Linked DNA regions of Arabidopsis thaliana. The protein of the gene in region 1 interacts with the protein of each later gene in a pairwise test. Each region holds a gene or a part of one and is shown on either strand. Other genes may lie near its edges.

The links.
Region 2: the proteins of CIPK13 (region 1) and PIN5 interact in a protein complementation assay, tested with the Arabidopsis thaliana proteins (one large-scale study listed by BioGRID).

What each region holds. Positions count from the first base shown.
Region 1 is NC_003071.7:14,425,993-14,436,296, reverse strand, and holds CIPK13 (CBL-interacting protein kinase 13), read left to right. Parts: upstream 1-3,814; 5' UTR 3,815-4,027; coding exon 4,028-5,536; downstream 5,537-10,304. Other genes in the region: AT2G34186 (uncharacterized protein), read left to right, coding at 348-443; AT2G34185 (uncharacterized protein), read right to left, coding at 970-1,064, 1,150-1,261, 1,364-1,404, 1,742-1,895; AT2G34170 (hypothetical protein (DUF688)), read right to left, coding at 6,246-6,284, 6,375-7,145, 7,238-7,999; AT2G34160 (Alba DNA/RNA-binding protein), read right to left, coding at 9,077-9,172, 9,259-9,323, 9,413-9,475, 9,576-9,624, 9,895-10,014. UniProt on the Arabidopsis thaliana protein: CIPK serine-threonine protein kinases interact with CBL proteins. Binding of a CBL protein to the regulatory NAF domain of CIPK protein lead to the activation of the kinase in a calcium-dependent manner.
Region 2 is NC_003076.8:5,395,480-5,405,783, forward strand, and holds PIN5 (Auxin efflux carrier family protein), read left to right. Parts: upstream 1-5,160; 5' UTR 5,161-5,255; coding exon 5,256-5,917; intron 5,918-6,425; coding exon 6,426-6,511; intron 6,512-6,604; coding exon 6,605-6,762; intron 6,763-6,916; coding exon 6,917-6,993; coding exon of another isoform or gene 6,994-6,997; exon of another isoform or gene 6,998-7,074; coding exon 7,075-7,147; 3' UTR 7,148-7,366; downstream 7,367-10,304. Other genes in the region: AT5G16520 (uncharacterized protein), read right to left, coding at 1-36, 129-218, 385-455, 581-1,281, 1,350-1,441, 1,527-1,892; ZFN3 (zinc finger nuclease 3), read left to right, coding at 7,958-8,015, 8,114-8,274, 8,399-8,461, 8,551-8,670, 8,747-9,214, 9,298-9,555; AT5G16550 (voltage-dependent L-type calcium channel subunit), read left to right, coding at 10,047-10,304. UniProt on the Arabidopsis thaliana protein: Auxin transporter regulating intracellular auxin homeostasis and metabolism. Mediates the auxin transport from the cytosol into the lumen of the endoplasmic reticulum. May also act as an auxin efflux carrier when located to the cell membrane.

The DNA.
Region 1 (10,304 bases):
AAAGCAAACCTAAGTAAAAAGGTAAAAGAAAACGTTATGATTGTGTGAAAATGACGTGTTTTTGTAAAAGAAAAATGAATCAATAGCTTAACATCTCTTTTGCTTTACTTTCTTCATTTTTCACTTTGAACTTTTTATTTTATTAAAAAAATTATCTTGGGTTGAATAATAATGACATTGGCGCAAAAAAATAAAAGTAATAAATAACATGGAGCCAAGACATGGGTCCAAAACAGTGCAGATGTAAAAAGAGTAGCTAACTGGGACACCCACGTGCGACCCAAGATGGACCAAAATGGGGTCACATATTTGGATTTAAGACATAAACAATACAAAAAAAATTCACAATGCTTTTGTTAACAGACATACCTCTCTGGTCTCTTTCACCTGTTGACTGCTACAAGAACCAAAAACGGTGCCGTGTCATGGCTGTGGTCGATTGAGTAAAAAGGTTTTGATTTGCTCATGTCCTGCCTCTTTCATCTGTGATTCAAAATAACACATGCTTGTTATAAGATCCCACATTGGATGTAAAATGTCTAAATATCACAAAGTGACTAAACTATTACTAAATAACTCTCACATTCTAAAGGGGAAGGAATAGTAAATGGCTTCTAAGTTCACAAGCTGACTTTTAAAGGATTATATATGGATTAGAGAAATACTCGGCTATCTGTTCAGATATCTCCTAAAACAAATAGTGGATGCTATTATTAATTGGCACGGACTAGCAGCAGCTTTGAGATTGTCAACTGAACGACTAAATTGAGACTTACGCAGAAGCAATGACATCTGATTGAATAGCTGCATTAGACCATAACGAAGATAGAAAATCTTGAGTACTAGCTGGGAGATGATTTCTTCATGTACCTGAAGGCAAACACCACAAAAAGAAACAACTTAATTATGCAAAAATCCATCTCATAATCTCATTGTACACACTCAAAACTTAAACTGTGATAACCAACCTTATCCTACTTCGATTTCTTGTTTGCTATTGCATAGCAAGCCACAGTATATATTGGTATAGAGGAAAATCCCACCATTGATTAAACCTAGATATCCTGTAAAAATTGTCACATTCCCAAAATCTATCAAATTTTTCAAAAAAGGGTACATTCTTTTATCTAGGAAGTAACTAGTGCACACCTGGAATGGGCTTTGAATGGTGATAACAGTCCCAAGTTGAGCAACCAGCATAGAAAAAGTGGAGCTTGATGGTTTGTCCTGCATTCTTGCTCCCTCCTTTCCTTGTCATTCTCTGCAATTTATACACCAACAAAGATGAATTCCTCAACAACATGCAGAGCGATGTGCAGAAGCCACTTAGATTATACTCAAGAGGGTCTAAATACATGTTTACTGAATCAAGACCGAATCTGATCGAATTATCTTGGAACCTCACTTCATGCAACAAGAAATCTAGACTTCTATATAATAACTTCACATTTCACATCTGTCAATCTTTTTCAAACTAAAGGACCTTATCAATTTTCCCCTCTTCAATCACATGATCCTAGAAAAAACAGAAAATCCAAAGAACCACAACAATAGAGAAAATTGCAAAGACAAAGCAGTGAGGGAAAATGAAGGAACTAACAGTAAAACCCCTAGCTGGATAACTTAAGACAATTTCAATAGAATCCAATCTAGATCATAATGACCTCAAAACCCGAAAACAGCAATCTATAATCATTCTAGATTAGCGATTTTGAAACACGGAAAGCAAAAGAGGACTAACTTTGAGCTCCTCCCAGAAACTTCTCTCTCTCAGTACATTCCCCAGATGCCGAATCGCCGAACAGGTCTCGCTTATTCTCCGTCGCACTCGAAACTTCACCACCGGCGGTCCCAAAATTCGAAACCAGAAAGTGTCTCTCTGTCTTCGCCTCCATCTCTTTCGTCCAGTGCTAATTTAAATTTTCGACGATTTGATTAAAAATGTTTGTGAGCCCAAGCCCATTAGACTTGTGATTAGTCTTTTTGGCATTTTGTTTACAACATGTGGTGCATGCATGCATGCATGGTGAATGATTAATATGAACATGGTGCGTTATTAACTCAACAATAAGGAATCAAACTGTAATATTTTCTTGTTAGATATGCAATTTAGTGATAATTTATCCATGGTAAGTTAGGTGACCGGGTCAAAACCATTATTGGATCAACATCTTCCATCTTTTTTTTCTGATATCAGCTATCATCACACATTGTAAGAAATAATTCAACAACCCTTTTCTTTTTGTATAATGATGAGTTAGACAATGGCTTTTTATGCATATGTAAATGTAAACTCATCTGGTACTCAATTGTCAATTCATAATCATAGGTCATGTTCAATGTATTGAAATCTCTAATCAGACTCGGATACAGATCATTGTGTTTGTGTGCAGTGACTCTAACAACTTATTGACCTTTTCTCTTAAGGATGTCATTTTTGACCAACAATATAGGAACTTAACTCAATTCATCATTGTTAGGAAAGAGTTCTAATTACTCTTCACTCGTCACTTGTCTCTTCGTATCTATCTCTTCTTGGTTGTCTCTTAGAATTCATGAACTGTGTTGTGTGTATAAGTTAATCTTGTTTCTCATGAATGATAAGTATCTTTCTCCATAATCATTACACTACATATTCTGAATAGTTTCTTACATATTAATTTACTACCAAATTTTGTGTTTTTTATTTGCAACTATTACAAATTTTGAATCTTTCCTTTTAGATAATATTTTATTTATTAACGTAATACACCTTATCCAAACAAATGTACTATCTTAAAGTGGTCTTCACATCGATCTTTTATTCTTTCTTTTTTTTTGGTAAAATTTTTTTTTTTTTTTTTATATATGCATTAGATCTTTCTTCTTCTTTTTTGACAGCAGATGTTGTATTAGTTTATACATTTCTTAATACAATACTAACACAAATTATACGAAAGAGGATAAACCTCCGTCGTGCTTGCATATTTTAGCATAAGCTTTCCTGGAAATCTTTCTGAGGTAGTTATTTTTTTCTTGAGAGTTTTAAATTCGTAATTATGCATTAAAATGAATAAACTACTATCATCAATTGAGATTTTTTATCTGAAGAACAATTTATGACATGATATATTCTCCTAATTTAGTCTAAGTGTTGGTATATTAGCTGAATCTATTTGAATGCTATTGCTTGTACACAAACAAGCTGAATTTAATTGATTATATCCAATTTCAGAATAAAGTTCCGGATGATAAAGTTGCACTCAAGATTAGTCTCGTAATCCAAATTAAAATACAGAAAACGGATTTTGGAAGTATGAAACTATGAATATAATCTAATTGAAAACTTTTTATCAAAAAAATAAATAAGGAGAAAGTGAAACTTGGAGTCTTAAATTTGAAGCCACTGGTTTTGGTCTGCAACGTGAAGTCCACAATGTACAGTAAGCACCGACTCAGCAAAACACGTGGTGCCCACAAATACCACTCCATACAGTATCTTTTTAAAGACTATAATACTCACGTATCACATAAACCTATACATTTGCTAAATAAAATGTGTGATGACATCTTAACGAACCATGATCTGCTTATCTATCAGCCTCATTGATAAGTCAACCTTATTATCTGTCCTTTAAGAAAGCTTAAATGTATTCCAAAGTTGACATTGCGTATGGATAGAACATATAAGTTTGCCTTTTATAATTTGAAAATCCGTCCAACGTGTTATTCTGTTGGCAAAATATTTGGATTAGGATAAAACTTCAACATCAAATAGCAATATTTTAAAATCAAATGACTTTTCAGCTTCTCGAAACATAAGATAAAGTCAACTCGAAAACTGTTATAAAACGAACACGAAAAAGGCCAAGTTAAGACAACATCACAACCGAAACAACAACCCCACCATATCTTATTTTTGTCCGTTTCTTCATTTCATTTTCTTGTTTTGGTTCGTTTCCCGGTAAAACCGTGTCGGAATCAACAAACAACAGTTACATTTACACTTAGAGAGCAACCAGAACTAAATAAAAGTCTCAGCCTACGGATGGCTCAAGTACTATCTACACCGTTGGCCATCCCCGGCCCAACGCCAATACAATTCATGGCGGGTCTTCTTGCTCGAATCGTTACAAAAAATACGAACAAAGAGACCAGTACTCCAGAGAGCCCGAGGAGTCCGCGGACTCCACAAGGCTCTATTCTCATGGACAAGTACGAAATAGGAAAGCTTCTTGGCCACGGAAGCTTCGCTAAGGTCTATTTAGCACGGAACATTCATTCTGGCGAGGATGTTGCCATCAAAGTCATTGACAAGGAGAAGATAGTGAAGAGTGGATTGGCCGGTCATATTAAACGGGAGATTTCAATCCTCCGCCGTGTCCGCCACCCTTACATTGTACACCTACTCGAGGTTATGGCTACGAAGACAAAGATTTACATTGTGATGGAGTACGTTCGAGGCGGAGAGCTTTATAATACGGTGGCTAGAGGACGGCTTCGAGAAGGAACCGCGAGGAGATATTTCCAGCAGTTGATCTCATCCGTTGCTTTCTGCCACAGCCGCGGTGTTTACCACCGCGATCTCAAGCTTGAGAATCTGCTTTTGGACGACAAGGGGAACGTGAAAGTCTCTGACTTTGGGCTCAGCGTTGTCTCGGAGCAGCTCAAGCAAGAAGGAATCTGTCAAACGTTTTGCGGGACACCAGCTTATTTGGCGCCTGAGGTTTTGACAAGGAAAGGTTATGAAGGTGCAAAAGCCGATATTTGGTCTTGTGGAGTGATCTTGTTTGTATTGATGGCTGGTTATCTTCCATTTGATGACAAGAACATATTGGTTATGTATACAAAGATATATAAAGGGCAGTTTAAGTGTCCTAAATGGTTTTCTCCTGAGCTTGCAAGGCTTGTGACCCGGATGCTAGACACGAATCCAGATACCCGAATCACAATACCGGAGATCATGAAGCATAGATGGTTCAAGAAAGGGTTCAAACATGTCAAATTCTATATTGAAAACGATAAGTTATGTAGGGAGGATGATGACAATGATGATGACGATTCATCATCATTGTCATCAGGCCGATCATCGACTGCTTCAGAAGGAGATGCAGAGTTTGATATTAAAAGGGTTGATTCAATGCCGAGACCCGCGAGTCTAAACGCATTTGACATCTTATCGTTCTCAGATCTTTCGGGTTTGTTTGAAGAAGGTGGACAAGGAGCAAGGTTTGTATCTGCTGCTCCTATGACAAAGATCATATCGAAATTGGAAGAGATTGCCAAAGAGGTGAAATTTATGGTGAGGAAGAAGGATTGGAGCGTGAGGCTAGAAGGTTGTAGAGAAGGAGCTAAAGGACCGTTGACAATTAGAGTCGAGATCTTTGAGCTGACGCCATCTCTTGTGGTGGTTGAAGTGAAGAAGAAAGGAGGAAATATAGAAGAGTATGAAGAGTTTTGCAACAAGGAACTTAGACCACAGCTGGAGAAACTGATGCATTACCAAGCAGATGAAGTTGAAGAAGTAATGTGTTTGCCACCTGAAATTGAACAGTGACAAAGTTAAGAAAACAGGAAGGTCGAGAGAAGAAGACATAACAAGAGAAGGTATCATAGAAACGAATATTAACATTCTTTGTTACTATACTTAATTTGTTTTGTGTATATATATGAAAGTGAGAGTTGTAATGAGAGTGATTAGGAAGATCAGAGAAAAAAAGAAATTAAGAGTGAGATCTTAATAAGGCAGTTAGACGGTTTTTGCTGGCGATTAAATGGCTAGTTTTTCGTTTATTGCTAATATGTTGTACATGTATCTCTACAAAGAGACGAGCTTAATGGAATTTTTTTCTCGGCCTTCCCCTATAACACTGTCTTGTTCATCCTAAGCTAACACATATTTATGCTTCATCAGAGAGACTATATGATAAACTGAAATGTGTAAATGTTACCTGTAGACTTTGCTGCCTTGTAGTCCTGGTAACCTTCACCTGAATGGAAACAGTTAGCTTGAAAAAACTTCCAACAGTTAATTGGGTTTGAATTGGGTATAGATAGAAATATGAACATAGCATTTACTGGGAACAATTGTTCTTCTTATTAGTTAAGTAGGCAACACACAGATATGAAAGTATAACTACACATGTAAATCAATCTGAGGGATTACGTGTTAAGTGTTCTAAGGGTCACAAAAGAAACTGCGGTTTTCTTACGTCGATGAAATTGTAATTCAACGTGATGATCCATCCCAAGGGAGCTTCAAACCACTAAGTTTTTGATTGGCAAGATGAATGAGCAACGAGTTCCTGCAAAAGATATAGCGAAGATCAAAGAAGGGTTAGTATTATCGCCTCATTGTGTTTCTTTATCTCCCAGGGAAAACTTTACATGCTTACTTCAGAATAGCGTATATGATCTCTGTGCGTATAAGAAGTCTTGACTATAGTTTCCCACTTGGTAACACTTGTGGAGTTTTCTTCAACATTCTTTTTTTGGGGATGAAACAGGTATCTCGGTGAAGGGATCTTTGAGCTTACTGACGGCAGATTACTGAAAAGCCAAGACTCGGAAGGCTTTTTGGGTGGCGGCGGAGCAAGTGGAGATAGATCACAGCCACTGTTGTTCTTTCCCAACTCATCTGCCTTCATCATCTTGACTCCACTGCTAATACTAAGAGTTTCTACAGCCTTAAGCTCGCGAACGGCTTTCGGTTTCTTTCCCTCCATTTCAGGTTCCTCTGAAATTGTTTCTGGCAATTTCTTGACATTAGAGCTACGATTCTCATTGCTGGTCCTTGGAGAATTCTCTGAGTCAACATATAATGTCTTCTCCATGGCAGAGCTCGTTGAACAGTCTTGTTTTGTACTTTTTGGATAGAGTGATTCGTGAGACTTGCTTATGTTTCTGATATGCTTGTTCAACCTGTTAGCTCTCATAACCTCTGCTTCCTTACGAGTCCCAGGGAAACCCGCAGCGTGAAGAGGAGAACTGTTTCCTACACTGCGATACGGTGACATACAGCCATTTTGTCTGTAAGGAGATGATGGCCTACTTGCAGAACTCTTCGATTCATGTTGTTCAGAACCAAAGTTAAACTTCTTCCCAACACTTGGGTGTACTGGAGACTGAGCTATACTTCCCAACTTTTGCTTATAATCAAGAGCGAGCTGAAAACATTTTTGATTGATCTTCAGTGAGTTTCTGATCAGTCTATATTATACTAAAAAGGTGAAAAGGAAGGAGATGCTTGAGAAGGAACCTTTTTCACAGATTGGAACCGAGATTTGAGCTGAGCGACCTTGCTTGACTTCACTTGATCATGGCTTGGGGTTCTCAGAGAGTAAGGTTTCTCTTTAAGACCATTCACTGAGCTCAGCATACCGAGTGAGTTTTTAAAGCAGATTTGTGGAGACATCATACCACAGCCTCTCTTAGAAAGATACTCAGAAACTTCATCGTCATCTGAATCCTCCTCGCTTTCTTCGTCATCTATGTCCTGATAATAAGATGGAGTAAAACTAGACTCATACCTTGTAGGAGTTGCACGATTCTCTGCTGGTACTATATCTCTAATCTGTCTCATTGGTTCTGACATGAGGGGCAATGGCTGTCGCTTCCAAGAATATTGAGGTGGTTGCTCCAGAGTCAAGGATTTCGCAGCAGGTAAGAAACGATCCAACATGAATTGAGGATCCTCAGATGGCATTGACGGTTTCATTGCCTCAACACCACCACCACCACTTATGCTTTGCTTTAGAGACAATGTATCAAGGGCATCAGAGAAAACATCATCATCTTCACTCTCTTCTGCTTCTTCTTCTACATGTTTACTCTCCAAGGGAGAATCCGGAACCTGATCTAAACCCATGTCTTGGACAAGAACTGAAACAGAAAGAGATTCACTTGTCTTGGACTCATCAGTGAGCTGCTTTGGCATGTTTCTGCGTACAGAGATTGCAGATTTTTTCATCCTCCTTGTTGAAAGAAGAGGTGCATCGAAGTTAAGTTGTTTCTCCGCCATAGAACCAACCAAAGCCGTTAGAGAAGATCAGAGATGGACTGACACCAACTTATTTTTCTCTGCCAAACTTAATGATGTTACACAGTTCTCCAAAACAGATCTGGAAAACCAAAACATAAATAAATAAGTCGGAGCTACCTAGATTCCATAGTAGTTGACTAATTTAAGTAATTAATTATACATACTGACACACATGAACCCAACGACAAATCTGAAGAAGATGGAAAACGTACAAAAACGTTAAGAACTTTACAAGAAACTTTCATTTAATTCAAATATATAGTTGCGCCGCTAAACTTTCAAACCCGTGATTCAAATCATTGGAAAAGGATTTATGGGGAGTAATGGAAAGAGATCATTGAAGCAATGTAGAAACTAAGTGGAGCATTGCATGATTGAATTGTGAAATCTACTAACCGGAGAGATGTGGAGGGAGGAGCTTCGGAGTTGTGTAAGTTCGTTATCTGCACCGAGAGAGAGTGTGATGAGTCTGAGTGAGAGGGCCTAGAGAAAAGGACGAGACTTGAGTCTTGAGGAAGAGTAAGAACAAAGGCATGTGAAAGAGAGAGAAACAAAAGATTGAGTAAGCTTTTGGTTTTGTGTATATTTCTGTGCCGTGAAGATGACGGAGACGAAAATGGAATTTCAAGAAGGAAAAAAATAAAGAAAAGCGACAAGTCACGAGTGGCTTGTGTTAGTGTCTTCCTCACCCAAATTGAGTCACAAATTGTAAACTTTAAATTTCTATCTATTTATGTCGTCTCAACCAATTCTAGAGATATATACTGTGACAAATATCACTTTTATTATGCTCATTAGGCTTAAGACATATATTTTCATATCACTGTAGATTTTATCATCGTTTTCTAGTCCAAATTTTGAGAAATTGTGGTAGAATGATGCTAAGAAAATTTATGGCCGAGATGTTTTATTGTTTAGCTATCATTCTTCCTATCAAAAGTTAACAGATACAACAAACCATCCATTGTGATAACAAGCCAAAAATTAATGAAATTAAACAAATAAAGCCCTTTATAGAATAAGCATCAAGAAACCCAAAATAGTTAAAAGCTATTTTCAGTTCTGCACCTGAGCTTCTGCATCTTCTTTTTCTTCATTGGCTGCAGCCATTAGTTCATCAAACTTCTCTGACTTCACAAGCGTAATCTCAATCTGCAAGACCAAAAACCAAACTGTTAAATCAAGATAAGAGGTCGATGAAAATTATAGTTTCACAAGTAGTAGGCATGAAGAACTACCTTAGCTTTCTGCACAGGACGTCCTCTTGCATCATCCTTAATATCAACAGTTGAAGTCATGATCTCTATATAGAAGAAGAAACCATATTTGTCAAAAAAAAAGCAAAGCTTAGAGTCGTGAAATCTCCAATAGTGAAACTATAAAGATACTTACTCTTCTCAACAGCAAAACCATTGTTCTTCAGTATTTCAGTAACAGTAACAACAGTTGCAATGGCTGCACATTCATGTTGAAGAGTAATCTTAATTAGTATTTACCAATAAACCATTTATTCAGAGGAATGTTAGCTTAATGAAGTGATTAAGAACAAACATACCCATGCCAAGGGCAGACAATTCAACATCATTGTACTGCTGCATATACCTCTGAACAAAATCCAAACAACAAAACTTTGTTACATCAATCAATCATAACCAAAAAAACTAATCCCTAAACCAACCCAAGCTAAAATACTTATTGGCTCTTCCTAATTGAAACAGTAAAATCGTATTAAGTAAAGAGATTGCCATAAAAATTGAGACTTTGGACTGGATTCACATATTTGCGATTGAAAAAGATCTTAGATTGCAGAAATTTCAAAGCTTAGATTAGAAGACGAGTTCCATTAGCAATCGAAGAATAAACTGTGTATGTACCTTGGCGAGATTGACATAGAAGAACAATGGTTTCTTAGTGTTGGAAACCTGAATCCGGTTTTTCTTCTGCGAATCGGTGGCTAAGTTCATGTTGTTCACTCCATCGGTGATCTCTTCCATGCTTGCTAATCGGAATCCGTAACCCTAATTTTTCTCGAGTTAAGGGACGACGACGAGTAACGAAATTAAACAAGACAGATACGCTTGTGAAATCGGGTCAACCCGCATAAACTCCTTACCCACAATCCGGTCTATCCGGTTATGGAAATCGGGTTGTCGGCTTGAAGATTTTTCTTTGTTTGGACTTTGGTGACATATGACTATATTAGCCCAATACTAAGAAATAGATCAGTGATGTTGAGCTTATGGGCTTTCAATGGGTTTGGTTTGGGCCTAGAGATTTCCAAACA
Region 2 (10,304 bases), on another chromosome or scaffold:
GCTGCAATCCCATGTGTATGCAACATATCTTCTCAGCTAAATGAGGATTATTGAAAGAGCAACTTGTAATAAGAAAAGAAGCCATTGCAAGAAGAAAAACCAAAAAAGAGAAAGGGGAAAACAATTACTTTATCCCAGTGATCTAGAGCTTTACGACGATTCCTTATCTTCCTGAAAACAGTATCTTCATTTCGCAGCTTCTTGATCCTGTACTCACACTATTCAAAGAGCCAATTTACCGCCATCAGGATATGCTTAGGAAGGACTAGAAAACTTTCAAACACTATAGTACACACCCGCTAATAATGCTTAATGCTCTTTCTTATATTCATAGATCATGAATACCAATAAACATTAAGTAAAGGAGATGAAAAGGTTTCAAACCTGCACTAGTAGGTAGAAAAATATGCCAATACTGATGCAATACAAACCACCAAGATCGGCAAGGAAGCTAACTGTTAAACAGCAACCAGAAAAGGAAAAAGAAACTTAAGTTAGAACTGAAGCTACTCTAGTATTCTCTACTTGCACATACTGGAATGATTCACAAGAAGTGATTGGACAAAGTAAATTTACTTACCAGGACCGAGTATATTTTCATGGTCTATCTCAACAATATAAGCAGAGAGATAGTTGATGAACAATGTCGTATTGAGTATGCCATCTGTTGACCTTCCCATAGATGCCTGAAGCTGAGTAGTGTCTCGGTAAACAGAGCCAGGGATAAACTCGTGAAAGAGAGGTTGGATTAGCTTTAGATCATGCAAATGATGGTAAATCCGAGGAAACAGATTAAACTTCAATATATTCCCTTCGGTTCCACGGAAAGTAACCGGACTTTCATCGAGAATGCTTCCGTTTCTCAGAGTGCCACTAACAAAACTCATATGCTTCTCGTTAGGTCCATTCTTAGACGTAAAGTTAAACTGAAATCCAACAGCAGCAGCAGGCGAATCAGGAAGATCAACGAAATGCCACGAGATATATATGTAATCGTTGGTGAGACGACATTTGGTACATTTGAAATTCACTGTTGGTCCTGAAGTTGTATTCTTACAAGTATAGCTTCCTAAACTAGAAAGAGCAGCAACTTTGAACTCGCTAAACCCGGGATTACCCATGACCACGTTCCCAATACCGCGTAAATTAGAGCAACTCATATCCGAAACAGCGGTGATGTTAAACTCCAAATCGTTCTCGAATGAGATCAAATCTGGAGAACCAGTAGCTCTCACATTGTGAACTTCAATTGTTCTCTTGGTTATGATTTGATAAAGCAGCCTGTGAAGAAACTGACTAAGTTAACAAAAACCAAAGGAAGCACTAAATTCTGAAGTTATCAAACTCACGCAGCGAATAAACCAATGAAAACAATCCAGCTCGCAACAGAAAATGTTCCACCAAGTTCTGTTTTACGTTTCTTGACAATTTGTTGATCATCCTACAAGATTCAGGAACCTAATTGGTTTACTCAAAAGAAACCAATTCATGGAGACAAAAGCAATGAGAGTAGAGAAAGCACTAACGAGCCAATGTCTAGTGGAGAAGAAGACGTCAAGTCGAGTAATCCACCAACGGAGATTAAACCAGACATTACGACCATCGCCGAGTTTGGTGAATCTCAGGAAGAAACAAAAGACTAACCAGGAGAGAAGCATCACGAGCGTAGCTTCTAAGAAAATAGCTTGAGATTGCGTGAACTTACGGATCCTATCGAAAGCGAATAAAGTCTCGGCGAATGATATTACGCTGTAGTTTACATCTTTGTCTGTGGAGATTGTTGACGGCCAACCGAAGATCTCGCAGCTCCCGGAGCTCCGGTTTAGTAGCTGACCGATACCGCACGCGCAGCGCGTGGCGTTGTATGTTATGGAGTTTCTAGGGCACGCCATCACACACAGAGAGAGCTTCGAAATGAAGAAACGAAGACGAAGAAGTCGAAGAGAGAGAGAGAGAGAGAGAGAGAGAGAGAGAGAGAGAGAGAGAGAGAGAGACGGAGAAAGGAGAAGAACAAAAGGGGCAAGAAAGGAATTTCATCTTTTAATTATTTTATTATTATTTGGACCAGCTTTAAAGAACCAGACCACGAAGCAGAACCAGCCTGTTAAGCAAGTGACTTCGTCGTGGTCAAGAACCAGCAAAATTTAAAAACCGGGTGGTTCATGTTATCCGGTTCGGTTTATATATCAAATTTTCCCGCCGGACCAAACAAACCTGCAGAGAGATTTTCCTGATTCAAAAGTCGTTTCTAGCTTTGCCTTTGTACTTTTTTTTTTTTTGTAATCATTAGTTCATTACATAATCTATGAAGTGTTCACATATTCTTGGAAATTTGATAACTATAATCACCGATCTTGATCTCTTTAGCTATTATTATGGTGTACCCTTCAAGTTCTAAAGTATAAGAACTATACTAGAATTAATGAATAAGTAACACTTTGCATGTAACTTAAGACTTGTGTTCACATCAAAGAGTGTTGTTGATGCGGCTAATACGTTTGAGGACTTTATGCTAAAAGTAAATCATTCTCCATTCTCCATGGTTGAAAACTTGTTCTTGCGTCTTCTCTTCTCTGGAAAAACGAATGTTTCCAGAATAAAAACACGAGATGTGAAGCAGAAGAGTACAACAAGTAGGTGCTGTAGCATATATTGAGTGACGAAGCAATGAAGGAACAGATTATTGTGAGCCACAAAATAAATTAAGAAATAATACAGTAGTGAAGTCGTTTCAAACAGAGGATTTATTCCACCTGCACTTGGAGGAGTTTCCTCTTTTCATAAGTCTAAAGAACAAATTTGCCTTTAAGAATAATTCTTCTGTGTTTTTTTTTAATATGGAATTTGAATGAAAGATTAGTGTGTGGATATGGATAATTAATTATATTTAAAAAATTATGTAATATTGATATGTTTGTAGTTTGGTTTCCCTTTCTATTGGCTGCTATTTACTTCATTCTTTCAATGATTGACGTTGAACTTCTTTTCGACCAAAATCAAAACATCCTCTCCTTTATGTATAACTTTGTTTCTTCTGATTTGATTTGTAACATTAACATGATTACATTTATATATAGTATATAATACGTAACCATGCATTTAACTTGGTACTTGGATTCGTTTATGAAAGATTGAAAGGAAAACGAAAGTTATATGATCACTACTCTTGAATTCGAACTCTAATTTAGGAAGAACAGTATAAACCCCAACATATAGTGTTTTCTGGTCTGAAAAACTTTGATTGTTTTGTTTTTGTGGTTTGGGAAAAAACATCAACATAATATTCATGACGTCAAAAGTACAAAACAAATAAGATGGATTTTGAATAAACTTTCCAATCGTGCTAGCTAGCTATTTCTGACATAATTCAAGAAGAATAATGAAAATATGTCACACAAAAACAAAAGTATTAACGATGAATGAATGAATGAGAGAAGACAAAAACCTTTTTGATATTAAAAAGACTGTAATATATATCAACACATCAGGAGAGAAATTTGAAAGCATATTATAGATTTGTAATCATCAAGTGATAAATAGAACTTATTCTACTAGCATTATTATTCATATTTATATATGATCCCTCAATTTCACCAGTGAATAAGCATCCTCCACGTTTTCACAGATTTCTAATCCACCGATTTTAACTTTTGTTCCATCAGTCAAATCCCCCTTTTTGTTTTTGTTTTAGTCCGACTATATATATTTGTTTGCTTATGTTTTTCTATTTGTTCCAAATCTTTGGTAAAGATAGGTGTTTCCATAAAATGTTATTATCAAATCAAATGATAAATAAATGCTTTCCAGATCATTTTATGCCTCTGCATGATTCTCTAGTAATTAGATCAAATCAATTTTCTCATCATGAATATGTGTAATAGAAAAGACTTTGTGAATGGACAATATATATGGTTACAAAACAAAAATATACCATAGAATTAAAAAGTGCTAATATGATGATATTGCACCTAGCAATATGTGTTGTTGTGATTATATTAGAGTCCAGAAGGCAAATAATAAATTTGTTGTCTAGCAAGAAAGGACAAGAGCACGAGGTACAAATTTTTCTGTAAACTTTTGTAGTTCTTGAATGGCTTCCTCAATCCTCACGATGATAGATTTTTCGCTAGCTCGTAGTATAATATGGTTCTTTGATATTTTAACAAAGAAGAAAGACATGGCCATATGATTTTTTATCGAACGAAACATAAAAAACAACGTAAAACATGGTTTAAGATAAAAGTAAGTAAGTTATTTGTAGACTTCTCTATCTATCTATATATTAACATATTCTAAAACCCATGACATGTTATTTCTTAAACCATGAATATATTGAAACATTCAAATCATCACTAGGTATAAGTAAGTGAAATTCATTTTCTTATAAGAAATCTCTCTTTGTCGGTTATGAAATTGGTTGCTATCGCCAGGTCGTAGGGCACAAATACCCATTTCGGCATATATACAAACTATTCCATGCACTTTACTTATATTACATGCACTAGCATAGTTCTGCTCCCATTTTATGAAAGTGGTTAATAAATATAAATATTAAGATTAAGAAAAAAACGATTAAGCAAATATTTCGAATAAATTATTGAAAATATATTATTTGGTTAGTCTCATGTGTTGTGGCGACGAGTTACGACAGCCAAAAACATATATTGGTCGAGACGATCTTCTAGTTATGGTGCTAAAGCTGCAACCTCATTCTTTATTCTGCGACATTACCATTAATTAATATAGTCAAATATTGAAAGAAATGTTTACGTCATACACAAACACTACACTCACTATTTACAGGAAACAATTGGAATAGAATCATATGCCACGGCACGGTCTGGTCAATTATATTGATAACGATAACTCTCTTGTTTCTCAATTAAACTAATGGCTAAAAATATGAGGTTGATTTTAATTTTTTTATCTAAATATTTAGACTCAAATTTCAATTGTATCTATTCTATAGGAATTTAGCCAAATTATTTATAAATATTCGTAATCATATTCCGAAGAAAAAAATATTATTGTTTAATTTATATCTAAACTTTACTTTTGTTTGAATATTACTCATGGATATCTCATTACCTATCTTTTTTCTACAACAAATAAAACAATTAAAAATTTATCTATAAATATGAACATGTTGGTTTCTCTATCGTAACACATTTACTATCTACGAACGAATTTAGAAGCTTTGTTTTCTTTCCTTTCGTTTGCTACTACTGCAACATTTCTATTTTTCTGATAAAACCATGATAAATTGTGGAGATGTTTACAAGGTAATCGAAGCAATGGTTCCACTCTATGTAGCCTTAATCTTAGGCTATGGCTCTGTGAAATGGTGGCACATCTTCACGCGTGATCAATGTGATGCTATAAACCGTCTCGTTTGCTATTTCACCCTGCCGCTCTTCACCATTGAGTTCACGGCCCATGTCGACCCGTTCAACATGAATTACCGGTTCATCGCGGCCGATGTCCTCTCTAAGGTCATCATAGTCACGGTCTTAGCGTTGTGGGCCAAATATAGCAACAAAGGAAGCTATTGTTGGTCCATTACTAGTTTCTCTCTATGCACTCTTACTAACTCTCTTGTCGTTGGTGTGCCATTGGCTAAGGCAATGTACGGACAACAGGCTGTTGATCTGGTGGTTCAATCCTCGGTATTTCAAGCCATCGTGTGGCTCACACTCTTGTTGTTTGTCTTAGAGTTTAGAAAAGCCGGATTTAGTAGTAATAATATCAGCGACGTACAAGTAGACAACATCAATATCGAAAGTGGAAAAAGAGAAACTGTGGTTGTGGGAGAGAAGTCGTTCCTTGAGGTCATGTCCCTCGTTTGGTTGAAGCTTGCAACGAATCCAAATTGCTATTCTTGCATCCTTGGGATCGCATGGGCTTTTATTTCTAACAGGTAAAAATGAATCTTTAATTAAACTTTATATTGGTACCTATAAGATGTTTAACAAAGTGTTAATTAGTATGTGTGATCAGGGACTCAGGAGACTACATTAATTCCACCCCTTACTCCGAGGCAACCGTTAAAATTGCCTAAAAATATCTATAGTTTGACGTTTAAACCATCTAAATTATTACTTTTCTGTGTAGCGCCTGATGATCTATAGTTAAAATTTTGACAGAAATATAGGTCACGATTGTTTCTTTGCATTTGCGTTTATATTTCCATGTGACAAATGACTAGGACATTTTTAACATGGTAACATAATTTGCAAACGTGACATGTACATGCAAATAAACTAATCATGATTTTAATCTGAATATTAGAGTCTTTGACCAAATTTCTATTTTATTTGTTTTAGTGTGAATTTTGGGTTTAGGGTTTTGATTAGTGTTTTGTATACTCTTGGCTAACAAATAAAGACTTAAGTCTAATAATTGATGGAAATTAATTGGAAATATAGATGGCATCTGGAGCTGCCGGGCATATTAGAGGGTTCGATTCTTATAATGTCAAAAGCAGGAACAGGAACGGCCATGTTCAATATGGGTACGTTTATTTATGTCCATGCAAGTATCTTTCTATACGTAAAGATTACGTATCAGTATTGAGATAACAGTGAATACATGCATATATACGCAGGAATATTCATGGCACTTCAAGAAAAGTTGATAGTATGTGGAACAAGCTTGACTGTGATGGGAATGGTATTGAAGTTTATTGCCGGACCGGCGGCCATGGCCATCGGCTCTATTGTCCTTGGCCTCCACGGTGATGTCCTCCGCGTAGCCATCATTCAGGTCATAAATTCTACTTTATCCTTTTGTACCCTAATTCTACTGAAGTTTGTATATAAAAAAAAAAGTAGATCATTTTCCATTCATTCATCCACTAAGATACTAACTTTATATTTTTCAGTTTAATATATCATTAATATTTATATGAAATTTACAGGCTGCTTTGCCACAATCGATTACTTCGTTCATTTTTGCTAAGGAATATGGATTACATGCAGATGTTCTAAGCACAGCGTAAGTCCAAATTTTAAAAATTCAGTCTATTTAAGAAGAAAATGGTAATATGAAATTAAATTAAAATTTTGATAAATGTAGGGTGATATTTGGGATGTTGGTCTCTCTACCTGTGCTCGTCGCCTACTACGCAGCTCTGGAGTTTATTCATTGATTAAACTAATAAATTCGATTATATCATCAATATTACCCTTTGTTCATCTTTCACAAGTTTTTTTTTTTGTTATCTCTTTTACACTTTCCTCCTAAAGGAGATTTTGAAGTATATTCGAGATATGAAAACCATTAACTGAATGAATTAACCTAGTTTATGCTTAATTTTATACTTTCTTAAGCTCTCTTTATTTTCGTAGTATGCATAATTTAGTATTTTGTTCACATATACGTATCAAGAAAAGATAAAAACTCTATAAATGAAAATACATCATGTTCGGATCTAAAATTGTTTTAATACGTACACTAAATATTATAAGCCCTTTTTTTGTTAACAAAAAAAAAAAAAGAATAAATGAAACGAAATTCAGGTTAGAGATCAAATAAAATCTTGTTATTATTTGATTCATGATCATACATACTAACCAAATCAGGATTTATGAAATAAATTATTCTTTCTCCTCAACCGAATCAATATGAAGATAAAAGGGGTAATTTAGTCTTTTCGAATTCGTTTTTCTTACCGAATCTCTTTAGTTTTTTTTCTTTCTTTTGTGTGGAGGAGAGAAGAGAACGCAACACTTTCTTCCCAATCTCTCTCTGCTTTCTCTCTCTAGACGTGATCTCTAATTCTCTAATGTCTTCCTGCATTGCCATTTCCTCTAACCCCTCCACAATCGGAGGAAGACGATTCCTGGGAGCAAGAGAAACGATGGGACTTCCCATCGGAAAATCTCTTAGAGTGAGAGAATTATGGTGTGTTCTTAATGCTTAATAATCACCGACACAGCCATTGTTCTTCATCATCTCCATGGATTTTGATTCCATTTCTCGGGAAAGCACTTTTCTTTCCCCATTGCTTAACCAAAGTACCATCCTTTATTCCCTCTCTGATGTTCTGATTCAATCTTAAAAACCTCAGCTTGAATTTTTGTTGTGGGGTTTTGGTTGGGTTTGTGAATTTTAGATGCAATGTGGCAAATGAACTTGGGATCAGATGATACAATGGGTGTTGATGGGTCTTATCCGGAACGTCACGGAGAGCCAGATTGTGCTTATTATATAAGGACTGGACTTTGTAGGTTTGGTTCAACTTGCCGATTCAATCATCCTCACGACCGGAAACTGGTACTGACTCTGTTTCTGTGTTTGTTCTTTCCTCTGTATCTTGTTGACTCAAAGTTTGTAGCTTTGAGGGTCTGTGTGTGTGTGTGATTACAAGCTGATGAATAGTCTCGTATCCAATTTCTAGGTTATAGCAACTGCAAGGATTAAAGGAGAATACCCTGAAAGAATTGGTCAGCCTGAATGTGAGGTAGCTCTGTTTCGAATTACTATCATAGTAATGTCTTCTAGTTATCACATTGTCTCAAAGCTTCTATTTTTGTTGTTGTGTCTGTGCAGTTTTATCTGAAGACAGGGACCTGCAAATTCGGAGTGACTTGCAAGTTTCATCATCCTAGGAACAAAGCTGGTATTGATGGAAGTGTATCAGTTAATGTCTTAAGCTATCCTCTACGTCCGGTATGTATACATTTCAACTTTCTAATCTCACCACTGCTTTGTAAAATTTTGCCTCTCTCATGAGTTCTGTTTGCAGAACGAAGATGATTGCTCTTACTTTTTGAGAATTGGACAATGTAAATTTGGGGGAACTTGTAAATTCAATCACCCTCAGACTCAATCAACCAACTTGATGGTTTCTGTTCGTGGCTCTCCGGTTTACTCTGCTCTTCAATCTCTAACTGGTCAACCGTCTTATTCTTGGTCGAGAACATCTTTTGTTGCAAACCCTCCTCGTTTGCAAGATCCTTCTGGTTTCGCTTCAGGATCTCAAGGAGGTCTCTTCTCATCCGGGTTTCATTCGGGAAATTCTGTTCCGCTCGGGTTCTATGCATTACCTAGAGAGAATGTATTCCCGGAAAGACCAGGCCAACCTGAATGCCAATTCTACATGAAGACAGGAGATTGCAAATTTGGAACAGTCTGCAAATTTCATCATCCTAGAGACAGGCAAACCCCTCCTCCTGATTGTGTCTTAAGCTCGGTTGGCCTTCCTTTACGCCCGGTAAGCTAATAAAAGACTTCAGATTCTTTCCTTTATAGTCTCATTATGTGGTTTGGTAAATTCTTGTTGCTGGTTTGAAACAGGGAGAACCACTGTGCGTGTTCTATTCTCGGTATGGGATCTGCAAGTTTGGTCCAAGCTGTAAATTTGATCACCCGATGCGAGTCTTCACTTACAACAACAATACTGCATCTCCTTCTCCTTCATCATCTCTGCATCAAGAGACTGCAATCACCACAGAGCTCAGGAATCTCCTAGTCTCTTCTTCTGTGGAAGCAAAACCCACATCACTCCCTGAAACAACCTCTGCTAAAGACACCATTGTTGATGCACAGCACTGAAAACCCTGTGTTTTGTCTATCTTGAAACAATATGTAACATTTGTTTTGCTTTATCTTGTAAGCATTTATGTACAGAGATGATATCTGATCTAATCTGATTCGCCTTTTGTTGTAATTTTCTATTGGCAACAGTTTGTGCATTAAAAAAAAAAACAGTTTGGTCTTAAACGGGCCTTCAAAAAACGTCTAACAAGCCCAATAATAAAACCATAATGAAAAGAAGAAGAAAAAAGAATTAACCACTCGCATGTGTAACGCGTTGAATACACACGCTCGTTGTATCTATCTATCTACTCCTCCGGTTAACGGGGGTTTAAAGCCACGTCGGTGCTACACATGTCCCTGATTTCTCCTTTAACATAAAACTAAACAGCTGTTTTGTCCGCAATCATTATCTATTACTAATAAAAAATCTCAACTTTTGTTCCTTACTCTTATTACTTCCTAAATCCGATCGAAACAACTGTTGGGTTAGTTTCTAATTTCCAAGAATGGCGCAAGATCACGACGAGACGGAGAATAAAACCTTTGCCGACGTTGTCGGTGGCGATGATGTCGGCGAAATTGTCAACGGAGGAACAAAGAATGGCTATCGTAAACCGGACTCTGTGGAGAAGGAAGATGATGAGGATTTGAAGAGTCTCTATTCCTTGATTTGTCTCACGATCGGTTCGATTCTGTTTCCAGATTCGAAAACCGGTGATGCGTCTTCGTTTCTTGAACGTGTAAGAAACTCCGTCGCTGAAAAT